3 linked regions of the Saccharomyces cerevisiae S288C genome follow. Changing the gene in region 1 together with any one later gene gives a genetic interaction. Each region holds a gene or a part of one and is shown in the gene's direction. Other genes may lie near its edges. The genes, in order: HEM2, HEM13 and DAP1.

Region 1 (5,362 bases):
AAAAAGGTTCTTTAAATAAGCTTTGCCGAACTAACCAAGCCAAATTGTGCCAAACCCGAGCCAGATCAGGCCCGATCAAAAAATACACCGAATTTCAATGACACCCGTTCATATTTTTATTCCATCGTTCGAACAAAATAGCGTTTTCCATTTATTTATGGATTCATTAGGTAACCTAATTTCTAATCGCTTCTCAACTTTGATGGGAGACCAACCCGCTGTATAAAGGGCATTTTTCGATTTACAGAAGGAACCGAAAGGGTTAAACCATTCGTGTGTACCTTTTTTTGTGGTGTATATTGACCCAACGAGTCTTGACTTTCATCATATTTCATGATGGTACTTCATTTCAGAAATGAAATTCAGGTGTTTTATTTTACCTTTACGTAGTTCTTTAGTACTATACTTTTAGAGTATTTGCCTAATCGGCAACATAACTTTGGAGGTGATTTCGAATAGGATTCAATAGGCACGTTGCAGTATATTCATTGCGCCTAAAACGGAAAATACCTTAAACTATGTTTTCGTGGTTAGTGACGCCTGGTCGGTAAAAAGATCATTTTAAATGGAAAAAAATAATGGTTGCTAAGAGATTCGAACTCTTGCATCTTACGATACCTGAGTATTCCCACAGTTAACTGCGGTCAAGATATTTCTTGAATCAGGCGCCTTAGACCGCTCGGCCAAACAACCACTTATCTGTTGAAAAGGTGTGACTATAGCAACTATTAGTTATTATTAGTTTGAATAGAATTTATTCATTATGGGATAAGCTGCTCGTCTATGCAATGGCAAAAGCACTTTGTAACTAAACTAAAACGAAATAAAAATTACAAGAAGGCTTCACCGTCTTCTAGCCTTTGTAGGGGAAAATATTCGGTCCCAGTAGTTGGGCTTTAATATAGAAAAAATATGAAAATCGATTCAAATATTCGCTAAATTTGCAGGATCAAGGTCGCTCTTTTACCTTTCAGAAGGTCATATATTATCTCAGGAAGTACAAGGAGTAAAATTCACAAGGAAGGTTCTACATTTTCAGCACGTTCTGTATAATGCACTGTCTATTCCTCGTGGACCCTCTTTCGGTGGGTGCGTTAGTCAGTTGTATTACACTACACAGAGTTTTTTTTCTTTCTTTTCTTTCTTCTCTATATATGAGCTGATGAACCTTCTGTTATTTTCTGTATTGATGGAAGATAGGATGCAGCATGGACTAGAGCGTTTTTGGGTCATTTTAGTGCAATAGATCCAATCATTCCTGTTCGATAATCTCAAAGGGACATTCCCCTCTGGAGAGAAATTAGTGACAAAGCTGTGGTCAGTTGGATAAGAGTTCTCTTGTACCCCTTGTGACGAAGTAATAAAATAACAAAAAAAAAAATGCAAACGCAAACGCAAGCACAAGCACAATATAGCTTATAAGGCCATTCCTAGCAATTTTGGAAGAAATGGCTATACCCAAATACAGATTTGGCGACAGTTTAACACTCAGAAGATTGCGACATCGTGCTCTATTTGGGATAAAAAATTAAAAGGCTTTGAATCGTACCTTGACTGGGAGGTACGTAAAGCTGAAACGGAACCTATAGATAACCATTGGAACTTTCTGTTCTTGAGCAAAAATGTTCTGCTTTATATATCTATATGTTCCCGCATGGTTTTATTCAAGGTATTCTTTTAATGAAAAATGCAATTGAATGCAGCGGAGTTAGGGGCTTTTTATAGAAGGGAGGAATTTGGCATTACTAGTTGAGAAAACGCTTTCTCATTTGTGTCATCTTAGGGCTTCAAATACCGCTGACAGAAAATTGGTTGATTACTGCGCATTTCACACGACAAATTAATGAAGAATGGCCAAGATCAGAGTAAACCTTGCCATGCTCTCCATATCATGGAACGGCGGCAATTATTTATACTGATAGTGGCAGAAGTACCGACAACTTCGTTCAGATATTCAAACTCTTAGCTGCAACTTGTTGCTAAAATCATTAGAATGTAACCAGTTTCCCATAAGATTTTCTTTATATATGGACTACGAGACAGTGCTTTCAGACCCAAAGTCTAACCATCCTTGAAAACGTCTTCCAATCATGAAATTAAAATCACGGCTCTATTATTTTCACGTCGAGCTTCATTTTGGGCCACTATTAGATCCTGTGTTTTTATTCCAAGGTGTATTGTCATATTTAATCTTGAAAATAATTTCTAATCTGTGTGATTATTACAGTAGATTCTATTGAAACGACACCATACAGCTCATACGAGTCCGGTGTACTGGCACAGAACACAGATGACAATACAAAAGTAAATAAATCTATCGACAGCAATTCCTATTTTCTTTTACATTTATATTGATTAGCTTACGATTTCTGTATTTATAGAGCGTGTAGTTACATATCCAGATACCTGTCTTCTAGGTGAACAGTTGGTTTTCAGTTCAAAAATTATATAGGATCTTGGACGGTTAGCTTTCCTCCTCATGATCCACTCTTTCGGGAACAAGATAAATTATTGTTTAGTTTTGATTAGCTTTACTTTAATTCGCACAAAAAAAAGCCTGCATTGTCACGAGAACATTGAAACATATACAAAAAACAAATTTGAAATAGAAAACAAAGCAATTTACAGAAATGACTGCCTGGTGCTAATTCTTGCATATATTTTATTTTTAATTAACTAGAAATCAGCGTCAATTATAGTTTCTGGTGAGTCAGCCAATGTCTGTAAATAAAAACAATATGCTTAAGAGGATTAACAGTGGCACAAGAGGCAAAGAAGGGAAGAAGGCGTACACGTCCACATGAATATATAAAAAAGAAGTGTTACATCAATTGGAACCCATCTTTCGGAACGTTTTCTATCTGCTACAAGCCTGTGTCACCGAATTACTTTATTGGGTCTTGTAGAGACGCCGAAATACATCATCATTCCAAGATCGACGATAAAAATCATCCAAAAAATTGTTGCCGAAAAAAAAATTGGAAAAGGTGAAAAAAAAATCAAAATACGGGTAAACGAGCAATCCCTGTTCGGTGCGGTGATTGGCTTGAGGCAAGCTTCCCGCTTGATTTATATAAGAGTAAGGCAACCTAATAAATGCTAGCAACATCTATGCGCCACTCTATTGTCTTTGATTTTCTTGCCCAATCAGCCAAATAAAAAAAAGTTTTACTGCTTACTCATATTATTGCTTACTCCAGTAATTCATACCTAGAAAATTGACAAAACCATGCATACAGCTGAATTTTTGGAAACAGAACCAACAGAAATCTCATCTGTTCTAGCAGGTGGTTATAATCACCCACTGCTGAGACAGTGGCAAAGTGAGCGTCAACTGACTAAGAACATGTTGATTTTTCCGCTATTCATCTCCGATAATCCAGATGACTTTACTGAAATTGACTCTCTACCTAATATCAATAGAATCGGTGTAAATAGGCTAAAAGACTACTTAAAGCCATTAGTGGCCAAGGGTTTGCGTTCTGTGATCTTGTTTGGTGTGCCTCTCATCCCTGGTACCAAGGATCCAGTGGGTACAGCGGCTGACGATCCTGCAGGGCCAGTCATTCAAGGTATTAAATTCATTCGTGAGTATTTCCCTGAACTGTATATTATTTGCGATGTCTGTCTCTGTGAATACACTTCTCATGGCCATTGCGGGGTTCTATACGATGATGGTACTATTAATAGAGAACGTAGTGTCTCTAGATTAGCAGCTGTGGCAGTTAACTACGCTAAAGCTGGTGCGCACTGTGTGGCTCCCAGTGATATGATCGATGGTAGGATCAGAGATATTAAACGAGGCTTAATAAATGCAAACTTGGCTCACAAGACCTTCGTGTTATCCTATGCAGCTAAGTTTAGCGGTAATCTATATGGGCCATTCCGTGATGCTGCTTGTTCAGCTCCTTCGAATGGTGATAGGAAATGTTACCAATTACCTCCTGCCGGTCGTGGCCTGGCACGTAGGGCGTTGGAAAGGGATATGAGTGAAGGTGCCGACGGTATTATTGTTAAGCCTTCCACTTTCTACTTAGATATAATGAGGGATGCAAGTGAAATTTGTAAAGACTTACCAATCTGCGCATATCACGTGTCGGGCGAATACGCAATGTTACATGCTGCAGCTGAAAAAGGTGTTGTTGATTTGAAGACAATTGCCTTTGAATCTCATCAAGGTTTCTTGAGGGCGGGTGCCAGATTAATCATCACTTATTTGGCTCCTGAGTTCCTAGACTGGTTAGATGAAGAAAACTAAAAAAAAACGTGCTTACCTTGTGAATAGTAAAAATAATGATGTCAATATGACAAATGTAACAGTGCTGGCAGTATATCCCTATTTGGCAAGCTTTATAATATGCAAAGATGCGACCTAGTATACGATACAATGGAAATTATGTAATCCTCCTAATGAGTATTTATGTAGTAGTACGTAATATTTATACACGGAAGGCGCTAGTAAGACAGATAGGTAATGTTTTTTTACTTTCACCTCTCATTTTTTCTTCTCAAGGCCTAAAACGGTCATTAGCGGGGCCAGTTGTTCAGGTCCTAACTGTATGCCAGATTTTTCCAATTCCAATTTAAATTCCTTCATAGCGTGTCTCAGATCTCTGTCCATTAAGATCTTAATCATTTGCCATGGTTTCATCGTATTTTCTTCATTGGCAGAAGTCCCATCTAGATTAACCAATTTTTTTTCGATCATGATATTGCTAACCTTTTCTAACTTTTCCAGAACATTAGGCCTCGAATTTATTTGATCCATGAGTTTCTGCACCTTTATGTGTGCATCTATTTTGTCATTAGGCTGTCTGTCGTCCCAAGATTGAGCGTAAAATCTTCTCGGAGAAATCCAGGAAAGCCTCCTTAAACTCCTGGTGTGATTAGTGGTAGAAATGTTCGATAGTTCTATCGAACGAGTGACTCTGGAACTATGCTTCCATATAACTCTTAGCATTATGTGTGGCTGTAGTATCTACTTTCTGCTTCTTGTGTTTATTCTAACTTTTTATTCGTCGGTTTTGTTACATCTTAAATTGTATTTCTTTAGTTCTGACCGAGCCATATTTAATGCATAGAAGATTAATAAAGAAAACATGAAAATCATAAATAATTAAAAGTAACTGGACGAACAAAAGATTTTACGTGAGACAGACAAAAAAAATTAACACCAGCAGTATATGTATATATGTACATCGTATATGAATATGCCATTTCAACAAATTGGATATGGTTGTATGTTTGGCTTTTTCTTTTCCTGGATTCCGGCTGTCAAATACTACTACGAATAGAGTCAGAACAGGCTTTTCTGTCCCTTCCTCCTATTGTTTCCTTTGCTCTGTCCGTGGCTACTCTCATC
Region 2 (5,347 bases), on another chromosome or scaffold:
GAGAATTAGTTAGAACTGGTAGTAGCGTCTGATATTTTCTTTCCGGGCTTATTTCAACGTTTTCTTCATCTTGCATTCCATCAAATGCGGAGATTCCCGGCAGTGCGGGCATAGTAGAAACATTGAGGTTACTATAGTTATATGGGTAAAACATTGCCTGAAAGTTTGCGAAGGGTAGTAATATGCTGGTCGAGAGGAACAATCCAAGAAAGGTGAATGGTAGAAAAAGGCGCCGTAATGGTAGGAATTACAGTACAATAATACTTTGCAGAATCGTATACGATATGATTTTTACTTTCAAAAGCTGCAGAATTCCCTTATAGCATCAAAAAACTGTAAACGAGGTGGAGTAATATAATTTCTTTTAGTTAAGAGATGGGAACCAAATTTTTTTTAATTTGGGTTTGGAAAGTTCTCTTCCTTATATATGAATAACGGAAAAGGAGCCTGCAGCCAGACTGTAGAAAGATGACACTGCCAAGAGAATAATTAAAAGAAAAAACACCCCAAACACCCTGACCGGCGGCGAAGCCCCTCTGCGCGCTCAACGCGTTTCGTTTCACGCTTAAGGGTCCTCAAGAGGCCATAGTCTTTTACCGATAAGAAAAATCTAGACCCAATGAATTTTTCCCTTCTTTTCCGGTGCGGCCTTTTCACTGCTAAACAGTAAAAAGCATTTCTTGGCTTTCCCTGAGGGTGTTGACCGCAACCAAGCCAATACTTCATTTTGCTTTTTCCTCTTTTAGAAAACAGAGTTTTCCCTGTCTCAAACGTTTCAAAGACAAATATGCGGAAAATCAACTTATAAGTAGAAAAATACTAGCGATTTTTCTAGTTAGAATATTTAGGGGAACTATGCGAAGACAAACGGTGAAGTCAAAAGAAACACACTGCCTCGATTAGAAAGGCTTATCTGCCACAGTTTAATTTTTTTTTAATTTTATTTCTTTTTTTTTTATTTAACTAGAATCTGGCTAAAAATAAGCAACGGTCCGTGTAGATTACTGTTTCGAACGAGGAACAACTGAAGGAAAAGTTTTTTATTTTCCGCGAAGTTCGTATATTTTAGTTTTCTTTTACTCCAAGGGTTCGTGACGTCGAATTCCTATCAGCTTTTTTTTGCGCTTGGCGTTCTAGGTCCCTGTGCCCGTCTGAAACTATTCGTACATAGCATTACTAGAGTACATAATATCGTCTACCATACATACGACGGGTAGCCAGATTTTGTGCCGGATTGTCGGGGAAAAGACGGCAAATGAGCTCATACGTAATGGTGCGATTTTGATTCTTAGCTTTCTATTTCTGGAGAAAAGTACTCCAAGGTGGGGAAGGGGGGAGGCTGGGACTAGTTGTTATATGATGTAGCCTAAATGTAACGAGGCGTGGCTCTTTCATCTTATCTCAATGAATAAGTGTAAATTGCCTCGCCTGGTTTAATCTTTTCTCCACATGCAGTAATAGGTATAAAAGGAGTTGAAATTAAAAATAATAATAAATAATGATATAAAAATTATAAGTTTCTCCTTTCGGAACTAAAAAATAATATTAATAATAATATATAAATATTATATCTTTTTTATAATATAACATAGATACGAGTTTTTATGTTCCTTTGGCAATAGCTTTTCGTGACTTGTTTTAAATACAAGGCATATAGGCGCAGCTTCACCAAGATATTCTGGCTTAAACCAGCACTATGTATATTTTGGTGTTTGATACCGATATCGGCAGCTCGAAGCGTTTTTATGAACTGTAAAAATATGTCCTACATAGTTGTTTGGTAATTTTTTGGTTTTTTAAGATTGTTTTATGAATAGGTGTTTTACCAGAAGGCTATCGCCAGGTAACTCTTTTAACTAAATCGAAAAGATTTATTTGACGTGTCATATTGTAAAAACTAAATGGAAGACAGAAACTAACTTTGTCGACACCTATTTTAAACAAGTATCAAACGCGGGCTATAATTTTTATGAGAGCAATCAATGCAATGGAGTCTATTTCCGGTTAAATGGCACGATTGTGCGTAAAAACACGAGAAAGTGGAAGCATCTTTTTCTTAATGACGGATAATTACCCGAAACAGTGCAACTGCAAGTGCATACTCTTGAAGGACTTACATATTGAGAGGGAACACATTACTACCTTTCAAGAACACTCGCATTTACGGCGTACATATGGTTCCGCGGTAGACCCTAGGTTGAATTGAAAACCATGTTTTGAAGGAAAGCAAAGGCAGAATGAGAACATGGAGATGTAAATATTTTCCCAGTTAGGCATGACCCAAAATCGCAATCCAGATGCAATTTATTATGACACGTAGACCTTTCCGTATCTAACGTAATAAACGATATCTATTTTCGAGGCGCTCGACATCTCGTATCTGGGACAGAAAGTGAGGTAGATTATTCAAGAATACCTATTAAGAAAGGTAGAAGGTATTGCACCGATTCCTAGTATCAATTCTTTTCAAAACCACTTATTTTGCAAAACATGCGTCTAACCTGCCATTTCAGCAACGTAAATAATAATTACTTCCATATATATTCTTCTCCCCCAGTAGCAATTTTGACATGACAAATTTCAGCGATAGTTGCTTCGGCATTCGAAAATCGTAGAAGTATGTCTTAATGTAGAAGGTTGAGAACAACCGGATCTTGCGGTCATTTTTCTTTTCGAGGAAAGTGCAAGTCTGCCACTTTCCAGAAGGCATAGCCTTGCCCTTTTGTTGATATTTCTCCCCACCGTAATTGTTGCATTCGCGATCTTTTCAACAATACATTTTATCATCAAGCCCGCAAATCCTCTGGAGTTTGTCCTCTCGTTCACTGTTGGGAAAAACAATACGCCTAATTCGTGATTAAGATTCTTCAAACCATTTCCTGCGGAGTTTTTACTGTGTGTTGAACGGTTCACAGCGTAAAAAAAAGTTACTATAGGCACGGTATTTTAATTTCAATTGTTTAGAAAGTGCCTTCACACCATTAGCCCCTGGGATTACCGTCATAGGCACTTTCTGCTGAGCTCCTGCGAGATTTCTGCGCTGAAAGAGTAAAAGAAATCTTTCACAGCGGCTCCGCGGGCCCTTCTACTTTTAAACGAGTCGCAGGAACAGAAGCCAAATTTCAAAGAACGCTACGCTTTCGCCTTTTCTGGTTCTCCCACCAATAACGCTCCAGCTTGAACAAAGCATAAGACTGCAACCAAAGCGCTGACGGACGATCCGAAGATAAAGCTTGCTTTGCCCATTGTTCTCGTTTCGAAAGGCTATATAAGGACACGGATTTTCCTTTTTTTTTCCACCTATTGTCTTTCTTTGTTAAGCTTTTATTCTCCGGGTTTTCTTTTTTTGAGCATATCAAAAGCTTTCTTTTCGCAAATCAAACATAGCAAACCGAACTCTTCGAACACAATTAAATACACATAAAGATGCCTGCCCCTCAAGATCCAAGGAATCTTCCAATTAGACAACAAATGGAAGCTCTTATCCGTCGCAAACAAGCTGAAATCACGCAAGGTTTGGAATCCATCGATACTGTTAAGTTCCACGCTGATACTTGGACCCGTGGTAACGATGGTGGTGGTGGTACCTCTATGGTTATCCAAGACGGTACAACTTTCGAAAAAGGTGGTGTTAATGTCTCCGTTGTTTATGGTCAATTGAGCCCAGCGGCCGTTTCAGCCATGAAAGCTGATCATAAGAATCTGCGTCTACCAGAAGATCCAAAGACTGGTTTGCCAGTTACCGACGGTGTCAAGTTCTTCGCTTGTGGTTTAAGTATGGTCATTCATCCCGTTAACCCACACGCTCCAACCACGCACTTAAACTACCGTTACTTCGAAACTTGGAACCAAGATGGGACCCCACAAACTTGGTGGTTTGGTGGTGGTGCTGATTTGACACCTTCTTACTTATACGAAGAAGACGGTCAATTATTCCACCAACTGCACAAGGATGCCTTGGACAAGCACGACACTGCTTTGTACCCACGTTTCAAGAAATGGTGTGATGAGTACTTCTACATTACCCACCGTAAGGAAACACGTGGTATTGGTGGTATATTCTTTGACGATTATGATGAACGTGACCCACAAGAAATATTGAAGATGGTTGAAGACTGTTTCGATGCTTTCTTGCCATCCTACTTGACTATCGTCAAGAGAAGAAAAGATATGCCATATACAAAGGAAGAACAACAATGGCAGGCCATTAGACGTGGTAGATACGTTGAATTCAACTTAATCTACGATAGAGGTACCCAATTCGGTTTGAGAACCCCAGGCTCTAGAGTTGAGTCAATTTTGATGAGTTTGCCTGAACATGCTTCATGGTTATACAACCACCACCCTGCTCCTGGTTCCAGAGAAGCTAAATTACTAGAAGTTACCACCAAACCAAGAGAGTGGGTTAAATAATTCAAGGTTCTTTAGCAGACCGATTTTATGATCTCAATGACAATGATGATTTAATTATTTCGACCACTTATTTATACATTTTTTTATCTATTTATTATACCTCCTTTACATAATTCTTCAAATTCAATTGATACAGGATCTCTATTCTTAAAAATATTAATTATTGCGTCCTATTTATGATGCAAGTTCACAGTACGTGCAGGATCAAAAATTATATCAGTATCTATTGCTCTAAAAATATGGCAGCAGCCTTCATTCTCAATATGCGATCATGCCTTCTAATCAAATTTTAAGATGTTTTTATTACTCTTTTTATTCTTAGAAAATTCATCTTATATTCAAGGACTTCTTAATTTTCCTTCCATCTATGACCACAGTTTACACACTTATAAAAGGTAGTCATCGGCTCATCAGCTGACCTAATTTGTAGTTGGAAAAAGTAAGCACTCTCACCACCACAAGTATCATAATTGGGACATTGGGTTTTGGTTTGATCCACATTGTCCCAACCACCACCAAGAACATCATCAACTTCCTTTCTTGGAAGTTTCTTCCTATCATAGATTTCTATACCCTCTATAGGAAACTCATATGGACATGAACGGCATGCTAATGTATATACACCACTATCGCCACTCGTTATCAGTAGCATATTGTTACACGAAGGACAAAACGAAAGCATCCTAAATTATGTATTTTACGTTTTACCAATGAATGCGAACTCTTTTGCTTATATAGCCATATAACGTATGCGTTTTCCAGAAAGAAGATTCTCGGTTATGCTTTTGGATAAAACTTTTCCTACTGTTCTTTTGAACTGGATTTGAATTTTATATCGATCATCTTGCCATGTAATAATAGATGTCCAAAAATTTCATCTGCCATTTTTTTATTTTCCCGTTCGTTCACTTGCTCTAGTTTTTTTTTTTTTTTT
Region 3 (4,423 bases), on another chromosome or scaffold:
TTCGATCGTTCCGCCGTATTCGTCGGTCCTCTTATTAGAATGTGGATCCAAGAACTGATTCAACAAGTACCCATTGGCGCTATGAATTTCTACACCATCGGCGCCAGCCGCGATAGAATTCTTAGCCGCATGGATGTAATCCTTGATATACTGTTTAATGTCGTCTTTAGTCAAACTATGTTCGAGATTATTCGCATCTTTGGCCTTTTCTTGTAACGTAGCATTCATATACACTCTGTCAGATGCACAGTCATAGCGTAACCCGTCTCTTGCCAATACGTCTGGGAAGGATGCCCAGCCTAAAGACCAAAGTTGTACCCACGCGAACGACTGACAATCATGGATGGCTAAAAAGATATTCTTCCACTCAGCGACCTGCTCATCAGACCAAATCCCAGGGGCGTTGTCATAGCCGCCGGCTTGAGGGGAAATAAACGTACCTTCCGTGATGATCATGGTACCAGGTCTTTGAGCACGCTGACCATAATACACAGCAGCCCACTCCTTATTTGGAATATTTCCGGGGTGAGTGGCCCTCATTCTGGTCAATGGGGGCATAACCGCACGATGTGCAAGCTGAGTGTTACCAATCTTAATTGGTTCAAAAAGGTTTGTGTCTCTTAGGGAGATCGGCTCAAAACCTTTTACAAATGGCATCTTCTAAATTTAAACTTCGCTATACTGAACTACAGTTGTTGTATATATCAAGTACGTACTTTTTTGCATATGATGGGCAAGAATCAAGCACAGTTCACAACCCTTATATAGGTTCGAGTTGTCCTACTTACAACACTGTGCTTAGTAATGGTTATTGCGACTTTATCCTTGTTCTGAACGGAGTTATATCAGGAACGCAAACTGCTTACTAAGGAGCCCTTCTAAGGAGCCCTCCGCAAATAATAGGATCGGCAATTTCAGACGGAGGACGGAGCCGCCTAAGTGCCAAGAACATTAAAGAAGAAAGAAATAAACCTTGAGCGGCTACACGAAACAGTGGTCAAGAGTAGAATCTCTGAAACGTCGAACCCTCTTTGTCAGTTATCGCGGGCATATTCTGAGAAGAAGCAATATACAACAAACGAGCAGGACAGATTAAAATTTTCAAGGCGAGGTAAGCTGTGCCAGATCAGTGTGGGACGACGCTCAGTAGTTGGCGATCGAAGCACGTGATCAGTTTTCCACATCCGTGATTTGGCGCAAATTACCATGTGAGCGTGCGGGAATAAGCTCCTTTATTTGCGGAGCGACAAAGGAAACGAGACCATATTACCCTACCTTCCTTGTTTTATTTTACTTTTTTTTCTAATTTTAATTTTCTTCGTTCCTTCAACTGTATGTACCCTTTTTCTACCGGAAATAAGACGGTCGTAGTGTCCGCGTTTTTGGTTCTTTAACGACAAGACATCAGTGCCTTCTCGCATTTTTGTTGAATTGTATTGTATTATGCTCGATGTTTCCAGAACGATATATACATCTGAGAGTTTATATATCAACGATCATTTTCTTGTTGCAGTAAGCTATAATAGACGCGTCAAATAGTCTAACCAGTCTAAATCTCATCAGCCACACACACGTACATCGGAATATTATAGAGAACAAATGTCCTTCATTAAAAACTTGTTATTTGGAGGTGTTAAAACAAGTGAGGATCCAACCGGGCTCACAGGTAACGGGGCCTCAAACACAAACGATTCTAATAAAGGTAGTGAACCGGTAGTAGCGGGTAATTTCTTTCCTAGGACGCTTTCCAAATTTAACGGCCACGACGATGAAAAAATATTTATTGCTATTAGGGGCAAAGTATACGACTGCACAAGAGGGAGGCAGTTTTACGGTCCAAGCGGGCCATACACTAACTTTGCAGGCCATGATGCGTCGCGTGGTCTTGCATTGAACTCCTTCGATCTGGACGTTATTAAAGATTGGGATCAGCCTATCGATCCCTTAGATGATCTGACAAAAGAACAGATTGACGCACTGGATGAGTGGCAAGAGCATTTTGAGAATAAGTACCCATGCATTGGTACTCTGATTCCGGAGCCTGGCGTGAACGTATGACGATTGAGCTCCGCACATTATTTATTAATAGCAAACACCAAGGAAAGGGAAAAAGGAAGGGGCGTGGTGGACGATGATATATGTATACATATACATATCTATATTTTGAAAAAATCTTCTATATAACGGTTGTATAGAAATAATTACTTATTTATGAATTAGTACAAAATATACAAAGCATGCTGCTGTTCGGAACGTGACGAAAACAGTAGCTTAAACTGTATATTTTTTGTGATACTGTGCGGCTGAAACAGGGAACAATATCATTAGAACTGCACAAATGCTTCTCTAGGGATGCCATTCATGCTACTCTGAAAACCCTTTATGGCAACTTCATAGTTCCAGTTACTTTGCTCGGCCAACATAAACGTGTATTCTGCATTCAATTTCGTTTCCAAATGTAGTTTATTCAGCAGCTCGAGTTGTACGGGATTTAGCCGCGACTGGACATCTGGAGGTAGTTGCAAAGTGGGAGCCATGACCATGGCTCCTTGGGGTGCGCCGGGAATGCTCATCCCTCCTGGTACCACTGAAGGTTGTGGCTGCGGTGGTGTCGTTATATTTGGGTTCATGCTTGCGACCTGTGGTAGGACCGAGGCCTGTTGCTGTGGAGGCTGTGCTATTGCAATAGATGCAGTTTTCCAAGCGCCTGTGGAATACGCTCTTACAGTTAACAGATCAGATGCGATTATGACACTATTATTCATTGGAACAATTACCCAGGTTCTATCAAAGGATTTTTTGGATAACTTATTATTTGATGTGGAGTTGTAACCATGATTGTATCTTCTATTCTTTTGATAGTTATTTTTCCCCGTTTTTTTATTGGATTCCAGTTCAGGCTTGCCAGTCTCTTCAAAAAATCCGTGCAACGTAATAACGAACCCATTTATTTGAGGATAACTAATTGTTTCCATTGAGTATTCATTGGGTTGTTCTTGTAAATGGTGCTTTGTTTTCGGCAAAGTCTTGAATATACTATTAATGGACTCTTGCCCGATTGACAATCTCTGCTGGATAGATTTTTCACTGGACACTTTGGATATATTACGTGAGGACGACATGTAATAACCAAATGCTGGAGTTTGGTCCGAATCTGTTACCGTAGATGGAGGAATAGTAGAATCCACGGAAACAGAAAACTGGGATTGGGGCGAATACAAATTTAACAGTTGTTCTCTATTATTATCCCATAGATTCAAAAAGTTAGTTGCAAAGTCTGTAGATGATTGCCCTAATGCATCGTTTTCGAAAAAAAACTGTTGAATCTTCATCGGTAATGAGTAAACGGTTTGCAATTTTTGTTCGTCTCTCACAATCACGTTATCTAGTACAACCAATTTCGGAAATAATCTTAACATTTCAGTGCGATACAACTTATCGGTGGTTATCGGGTTATTTGTCATCAAAAGCTCTCTTAGATCTTTGAATTTGTTCTTCCAAACTTCTAGCGATCTAAATCTAAAAATCTGATTGTTGGCCAGACAGAGGTTTTTCAAATTAGGAAATGTTTGAGCCAATGTGGAAATTGCTGAGATGTCCTTAAGTTGGTTGTCAGCAAGATTGACACTTTCCACTATCAAACTTTTTTCTGTAGAAGCCAGTTTCATCATTGCTGGAAACATCTTAGACTGGGTGGAGATGGAACTAAAGACGCCCTTTTGAATTAGCTCGGGATCTGAATGTAAAGCGCCCAAATTTAGTAATTTTGTTTGTGGGTCATACCTCTTAAGGAGCACCCCCCTCAAGAACGAAATGGTGTCTGAAGTTCCCGCAGAGGCCCCATTGTTATCTAAAAGTTCGAACTTTAAATTACTGCCTGCAAACCGGACACCGTTCCATTTCATTAACGATTCTGCTTCTGCCTTTGAGTTGACATATCCAATAACTAAAGGTCCTTCCACATGAGCGTCATAAACAGCTACTCGAGCGTTGCGGCTTATAAAATTAATCAAATCGTTCATGGTTGCATTCTGCCAGTTCCTCACGCTAATCTTTATTCTATTTTGTTGCATCTGCTGTTGAGCCATCATATTGATATTTCCAACATTGTGAAATCCGCTCATTTTTTTTGCTGCTATTAGCGATGCAGAATTTTTAACGATTTATTTTACTCTTCCTTCTTAGAGTAAGTATGTCTTCAACAGTCTGTTACTATTTTTTTTTCTACATACTCAATTCAGCTCTTACTGAAATTTTCTTCTGGAAAAAAAAGGAAGACGGGTAATGATGATCTTATATAACAGTATAATCTGTAGGTATATTTATCGTTAGAATCCTCTACGAAAGGCAAGTGGGCATGGATTTCTAGCTTTTGAAGCCGCGTTTAAGTTTCTTCAGAATTAATATTCGTAGAAATTTTCTG

The links.
Region 2: of HEM2 (region 1) and HEM13, changing one enhances a phenotype caused by changing the other (phenotypic enhancement), as found in Saccharomyces cerevisiae (one study listed by BioGRID).
Region 3: of HEM2 (region 1) and DAP1, extra expression of one rescues a mutant of the other (dosage rescue), as found in Saccharomyces cerevisiae (one study listed by BioGRID).

Annotation. Positions count from the first base shown.
Region 1 is NC_001139.9:418,423-423,784, reverse strand, and holds HEM2 (porphobilinogen synthase HEM2), read left to right. Parts: upstream 1-3,229; coding exon 3,230-4,258; downstream 4,259-5,362. Other genes in the region: DPC13 (Dpc13p), read right to left, coding at 4,496-4,960; YGL041C-B (uncharacterized protein), read left to right, coding at 4,899-5,081. UniProt on the Saccharomyces cerevisiae protein: Catalyzes an early step in the biosynthesis of tetrapyrroles. Binds two molecules of 5-aminolevulinate per subunit, each at a distinct site, and catalyzes their condensation to form porphobilinogen.
Region 2 is NC_001136.10:543,216-548,562, forward strand, and holds HEM13 (coproporphyrinogen oxidase), read left to right. Parts: upstream 1-3,426; coding exon 3,427-4,413; downstream 4,414-5,347. Other genes in the region: transcriptional regulator NRG1, read right to left, coding at 1-154; DNA-directed RNA polymerase III core subunit RPC11, read right to left, coding at 4,763-5,095.
Region 3 is NC_001148.4:226,715-231,137, forward strand, and holds DAP1 (Dap1p), read left to right. Parts: upstream 1-1,599; coding exon 1,600-2,058; downstream 2,059-4,423. Other genes in the region: OYE3 (NADPH dehydrogenase), read right to left, coding at 1-657; MEX67 (Mex67p), read right to left, coding at 2,325-4,124.